Linked DNA regions of Schizosaccharomyces pombe. The gene in region 2 interacts genetically with the main gene of each other region. Each region holds a gene or a part of one and is shown on either strand. Other genes may lie near its edges.

The links.
Region 1: of mbx2 (region 2) and pfl7, changing one suppresses a phenotype caused by changing the other (phenotypic suppression), as found in Schizosaccharomyces pombe (one study listed by BioGRID).

The regions. Positions count from the first base shown.
Region 1 is NC_003423.3:117,568-121,328, forward strand, and holds pfl7 (DIPSY family glycoprotein Pfl7), read right to left. Parts: upstream 1,762-3,761; coding exon 685-1,761; 3' UTR 325-684; downstream 1-324.
Region 2 is NC_003423.3:3,624,740-3,628,500, forward strand, and holds the start of mbx2 (MADS-box transcription factor), read left to right. Parts: upstream 1-1,899; coding exon 1,900-3,018; 3' UTR 3,019-3,761. UniProt on the Schizosaccharomyces pombe protein: Acts in transcription regulation. May bind to a MEF2-like typee II promoter sequence.

The DNA.
Region 1 (3,761 bases), 3.5 Mb from region 2:
ATAGAATTCAGATTATGCTTGAACATATATTAAGTAAGAATATTTTGTTGACTTGCTAAAAATAAAGAACCATTGCCATGAAAATGTGTTCTTCTGTCGAATAAACTACTTAACAGCTTATTATCCGACAAAAAATTTTGATCAGTAATGAAAAATTAACAAAAATACATTTTTTCTCTTTCGGTTGCCAGACTTTGATATTCAGAAGAAAGTTAAAGCATCCGAAAATTGGAAGGGTTTTATAAATTTAAAAATTAATTATTACTTCTCCAACTTTTGCCATATTTTACATGTTCAACAAATATAAACCGCAATTTAAATCAATTTGGAAATTTGAAATTTATTTTATATAATTAAATAAATAAGTCCGTAAGCATTTAACTTTGCTGCGAACAGAATTGCGAACTAAACATTTTGGGGTTTTTATTTATGAAAAATGTAAAATTATTTTTTTCGCTCATAAAAAGGTTTTATGTATCAACAAAGATCGGAATTAACATTGACAAATGAAGAAGGCACGGACAAAGTAAATTAGTGCAAAAAGTTCAAGTCAGAATTCTCATAAATTTGTTAAATAAATTGACTTCTCGTTAGCAATAGTATGATTTTTCAATTCAAAATTATATATTAAATTTATTTACAAGGACTTTAAAGTCCAGTAAAAGATGGGATAAATCCTTAAAGTCAATAGGCCACGAGAATAACATCGTCCGCCCTAAAACCTACATCATCCATACCACCTGTCTCTCCATCATATTCAGGAGATGTGATCCATAATGCTCCATATTGGCTAACGTGTAAAGTCTGAATTTCCCCTGAAGAACTCTCTACAAAAGTGAAGGTTCCGTTATTATTTTTGATAATGTCAAAGGATGAATCTGGATCATCAGTGTATATCGTATATACAGGTCGTACGCAATCACAAGTTAATATTCTTTCGACAGTAGGATCATAATAAAAAACATTAACTGCTTCGGTGTTTCCCTCAGTAGATGTGTACATGTTACCTTCGTCTGGATCGGACACATTAGTATTCTTATAAACATATGAAGGATTGATTGAATCACCCACGAGTCTCAAGTGAAATGAGTTCTCTGGATTGCATCCACAAGACGGTGTGATAACCTCCACTAAACCTGACTGAGTTCCAGAAACTGTTTGTAATGTGGTTGTTGAGACAGGGTAACTAGATCCAGAAGTCAACGTAGTCGTAATATAACCAGCAGTCGGAATTACCACTTCAACAGTGTCAATACTTTGATCAACAAACGTAGTGGTAAATTGCGTTGAACCAGAAATGATAGTGGTTGTAATGGTACTGGCAGAAATTGAGGAACTTGATGGGATAGTTGAATTAGAAAGAATAGATGAACTAGTCGGGGTGGAAGAAGTTGTCGGCACCGGTGAAGTGGTAGGGATAGTTGAATTAGAGAGAATAGATGAGCTGGTGGGAACAGAAGCTGTGATCGGGGTAGATGAACTAGTAGAAATAGTTGAATTAGAAAGAATAGATGAACTACTTAAAGATTTTGATCCCGTATAAGGATAATTTTCAGATGTGTTAGATGCAACATTGGAAGTTGGATATATCGTTGTGGTTCCAGGGACTGGGCCATTAGTATAAATTGTAATATATTGAGGGCAGGCAGCTAATAGGTTTTCGTCCTGCTCTTGTAGTGATGCATAGTCAAACGCGAAAGCGTTTACCAACAAACACAATGTCACAATACATTTAAGGCAAAGTGACTTTAACGAATTCATTGTCCGTAACTGTCAGTTTGTTCTAAACTTTTAGTCACCTCTATTGCGCGAAGAGTGTGAAAGGATTTTCAAAAATCAACGACTTTATATACTTGAATTTTTATGATATCAAAAATTTATCACGATACGCTGAGGTTATCTTTGCTGGATTAAATACGTTATTCGAGTTCACAAAAGCAGCAAATATCGAAATACCATGAACACGAACATGTTGTAAAATTGGTGTCTGGTCGCTTTTGGGAAAAACACATATTAAGGGATGGGAAAGGAGATGGCTCCCCAAAGCATATTCCAGACAAGTTCAGTATACATTCGTGAAGCATATCACAATACCAGTGAAATCTTCTATAGGTGTAAAAACAAAAAGGTATGTTGAGTTTAAGACTATCATCGATTTGGCCATCCCGAACAACTAGTTACTTCACTTATTAAATATCCTTAAGAGCGTAATGTATATATTATTAAAAAAATGTAAAACTCAAGTAAAGGCTGTAGTTCATTTTGGACGTAAATTTAGTCTTTGTACCATAAATTTTATGATCACTGCAACACTACGTCTATCTGTATCACCACATAATTCAGGGATAAGTAAACGGGTGATGAGGTAGATTTTACTTCCAACCACTTAACTAAGTATTAGTAGGAAATGGTAACCATCATAGCAAGAAAATTTTAAGTAGTTATGTTTACTTTTCTATTTAGCGCTGAATACGAAAAACAATTGTTAATCCATTTATTTACTTACAAGTAACTAAGCTCTTCTTAATTTTCATTTCATTTCAAACCAGTTTTTTTGTGCGTAGGCCTGTAAAAGAGTTCAGTTGGAAAGCCAAGCACAACACTGATGCACTAAATTTCGACAAGTTTGAAACAAAAAGGATACAATGCTATATATCAATGGGAAAAAAAGCTTTACTTCATTGTTGAAGTCTCTCCCGCATCTGTTTATTGGATGAGTACAAATGTGCATCTGAAAAGATTTGTTAACAGCACGATGATAATTAACTACCGCATTCTAATCTGCTAAGTATTGGGGATGCATCGTTAGTTGACAAATCATTAATTTCGTTTTTATTACTTAAGTAATAAACAGACCTTCTAGCTTAGAAAATAAGCTAACAAAAGCCATCATTTCCTTACACTAAAAGTAGATTTAGCGAAAAACGTTAAAACTCTGAGTACCTTAACGAAGCAAAATTCTCCCACGCGAATTTAACGATTGGTGCTAACGAAAGCGGAAGTACGTAAACCTGAAAGGGTATTACAGCTGCATTCGGTAAATAAAAATGAAGTTCGGTAGGGAATTCTCTCACATAAGGATATTGAGGAGTAAGTAGTAGGAAAAAGCGGATGATAGCATTGGAAGGGATAATAAATTTTTGTGGGAAATGAGGGGAAGAGGGAAACGAGCAACTGGGGAAATTGATAGGAAGAACGTTGATGGTATTGTTAAGTGAATGAATAGAAACTCAGAGACTCTCACAAATCATTTAAAAAAATTTTCACTAGTCGAAAGTTTTTACGGTATTATTATTTTCATCTTTTCAAAGCATTATCCCAGTCTTACCACGAGATGTTCCTACATAATATGCTGCGCTTTTCATAAAAGCACATATCCTGCAAATATCTCTTCCATTTAAGATTATTTCGTTTATGCCTTACCCATGGATCTACGATTGATATCGAAGTTTGATTGAATTATGATTTCTTTGATACAATCACGAGTTATGTAAATGATATCTGTTGTGTTCTCGTTTTAGTATATTGGGTTTAACCTTTTCAAATTTGTTGCTAAATTTATATGGCACAGATCAGAGGTCGAACCCTTTTATTATTGAACTACTTCTTCTTCGGCAGCTCTCTAGTTGAGTAGCTGGCAGTTATGCTTACCATAATTGATTAGACATATCAATGAACTTAAGCATGTAGCGGTGCTCGACCGTTCAGACTAAAATAACAAGGTAGGGTCATTGGAGAAAAAATCATAAAGAAAGACATTT
Region 2 (3,761 bases):
GTATAAGCAGGTCGTAACGGTCGATTCATTGCGAAATCAAATTACTCATAAGCTACCTCTCTGGTTATTTTTTCCCAATGTACTGTATTCGTATTGTACCCCATTCTTACCGGATACATTTATTAATAGAGCAAGTTACGAAAAGCAAAATCAGAGCGAGTCTATTTTCGGACTTGTGTGTCTAAGTATAGTCAAGGAGCGGAGACAACACTCGTAATATTGTTCCTTCACGCCCTCCTCCCCCTTTCCCCTTTGAATTGAGTATCGTACACTGCATCAGTAATAGGGTCAGCGTTTCCAATTGACTGACTGGTTGAAAAGTGAAGGATTACATACGAAAATCCCTAAACGCGATCATCAGCGCATTCCGAATTTTCGTATCTTTCTATCTCTTCGATTCTTTCTTTAGCCTTGCCAAGTATTTTGGCTGGCCCATACGCTTTGCCTGACTATCGCGTCTAAAAATAAAATCCCCTTTCCAAAACCTTGGATTAGGTGCATGGGATTACTATGATTCTTTCCTAATAATTGCTAATCCCGCTTTCTTTCTATTTTTTTCTACTATTACTGCAAAGTCAGGTTTGCAATCCAAGTGGACTTTAACCATACTCAAAAGGTACCTTCTAACCTTCTTTCCATTATGTCCATCTTCCTCCTCCAATTAAAGGATTTTCCTACTTAGGGCTCATTTAATCGAGGCTATCCCACCTTTTTCATGAAAAAGTATTCGGCCTTGTGACCTCCCCTTTTCGAAAAGAGAGATGAAGAAATAGTTTAAATTACCCGAGTAGCCGAAACGGTGAATTTTCAGAATGTCTACATGAGGAACATAATGTACACTTATACGCGTTTGTATATTGAGAATTCATCGGTAATGTTGGCAAAGTGCTACGCATCTTCGGATAAACGTGAATGGAAGACATTTAGCCCCTAATTTTGGTGTACTTATGCAGGAAAAACCTATCCCTTAACAATTGCCTATGGAGGGAAAGAGAAAATTTTTTTCGTTCACTATTGGAATTTATTTTCTTTTGCATAAATATGTACAATGGTATGTTACGATGCTGGCGTCGATACTTGTCTAAGTTAGAACGCAGTGTGTATTACGAAGGTTGCATTAAATAGACGTTGCGGTTTCCTAGTTATTGCTATCCCTGTATATATATACACATATATATGTACAAAAACACGTATTTACACGCACTTATAAACGCACACAGACAACAAACAAATACCTAATTTTATAATTTCAAGTTGTTGAGACAGATTAATTTATTTATAAAACTTGGCGAGAAGATATTTTTAAACCTGACATTGAAAAGGAGGGGACAATTGTTAAAAATATAGCTTCAAAGGCAAAAATTTCTCCAAAGTGTTGATTCTTCCTCTTTCTATTTTAAAAATAGCACACAAAAACATCTAGTCATTTAATTTGTCTTTGTTCCTCTCATTTGTAAACACTTGAAAACCACCCGTTCCGGCTATCTTGTTTACTAAAAAAATTTTTTCTATTAATATCTTTAGTTTCGTCGCCCGCTTCAACCCAGAGTACAAAAACAAAAATAGCTTCCTCGTTTTTAAATCTCAACTTAGATTCGTCTAATCGACTATCAATTACGAGCACAATTGGAGAACTTTGCGCTCTTGTTTTCTCAAGCGAAAAATCTACCCTCAAGAGATCCGGTGCAGAGAAGGGAAGACAGGGATAAAAACTGTTACATAAATTCCAAGAATAAACCCCATCTGCTGTTTTCTATTTGTTCCTTATATACTTGCCCGTTTGCTCGCTCGTTTGCTCGTTTGTTTTCGTCATTCTCCCTATACCTGAATTTTGGTTAACCTCGTCGACTCTTTTTCTCTTTTCTCGTCAAACCTTACTAAATATATACAACGTCTAATATGGGGCGCAAAAAAATCTCCATTGCACCCATAACCGACGATCGTTCAAGGAGCGTAACTTTTGTCAAACGAAAACAAGGTCTCTACAAAAAGGCGTATGAACTCGCTGTGCTAGCCGATTGTGAAGTCGCCGTCACAGTCATTGATCGGAAAGGACGTTTGCACGTCTTTTGTTCCTCTGACTATCAACGTACTCTTCAACAACTCAACACTCTCAGCATATATGAGTTAAAAAACCGTTCTCATTTTTCGTCATCGCCTGTCGAAGAGTCAAGTACCGTGTCTCCAGAAACGACAACTGGTTCATTTACTCCTCTTAATAATAAGCATTTGAAGTCACAGGACCAACCTTTATCAGACTCCCAACTCGACACTGGTGATTCTCCTGCAACATCGGAAACGACTGTTCAGGACTATAATCCTCAAGTTCAGTCTTACTGTCGTCCCGAGCCTTTATCGTCTAATCACGTTCGTTCTTGTCCTCCATTTCCTCCCACACAACATCATCATCCCCATACTCGTCCTCCTCATCATCCACCTCATCCTCATTTTCATAACAATAACTATCCACCGCCCTATTGTTTCCAATCTCCTGTGTCTCCGGGTGCTACAGTTCCATTGCAACATCATTCTCCGTACCCTAGTGATAACGGCTTTCCTGGTCATCGTAGGCAAACGCACTTCGCTCCTTACTACTATCCACAAAGAGCTACGTCTCCTTCTTTGAAACAAGTTCCAACTTATCTGGGTACTCATGTACTGCAACAAGACCAGTCCACCTATGATCAGAAGGTCCTTATGCCTCCAGCAAGTTATCTTTCTTCACCTAATCAATACACCTTAAAAAATGTCTCTCCTGGTAACCCGGCTTGCCCTCCTTTTCTCTATGAACATCCAAATCCACAGCTAACGCCTGAGATGTTTGATGTTAAACAAGGCTCACCTATTCCGCCTACTGCGTATTCGGGTAGCAGTTGTGAGACTTCTCAACATACCATTGCGAATACTCCATTTTTGGCATATGATCGCTCTCCTTCCTTAACGAATCAAGAAGCTGAATCATCCTTCCAAGACGTAGCTTCCATTAGTCCACATTCACTCAGTGATGTCAAATACTAAAGAATATCATAGAAGTCAATCTCCCTTTCAAATGTCTTCATCATGTGTCCTCCCTGGATCTAATGAATCGTATACAAGTAATAATTTTAGTTGGCATACATCTCGATCAAATCCTTACAATCGTTTTCTTACTCAAACTGCATATGATTTGGAGCAATCCAAGCACCAATAGTTTACTGCCAAGCTGTGCGATGCCCATTTTTTTAATTTGACTTACATCGCATTCCAGTAAACAATTGTTAATACTAGGTCTATCAATTTATCGTTATAGTTGAATTACGCGAACGAAATTACTGACCTAGCAATAATTGAAGTTTGGAATGTTGTTCAATAAAATGGACACCTACCGATAGCTTATGGATTCAATGTGAACTACAAACCTAGCATGATTTCAGACGCTAGCAAATACAAATACCTGAACATTTCAGATGTGCCAATGGTTTAACTTTGTTAACTTCCATCTTCGGTATTTTGGATCCTCCCTGTTATGAATTCAAGATGGTGATTTTCGGTTTAAATATTTATTTGCAAACTGCGGGCAGTTTATCACTTATTTATTCAGGCACGCATTTTGTCTATTCAAGTGGACTAAGTTTTTTCGTGATTTTGTTTTAACCACCTCCTTCCACTTCATTAATTAATTCACCAACATGTAACATTCGCGGACCAACCTTTATGTTCGCATTCAAATTTTTTTTTGGAGCCGCTAATTTCTAATTAGACGTTTCTCATTCGTTTTCAAG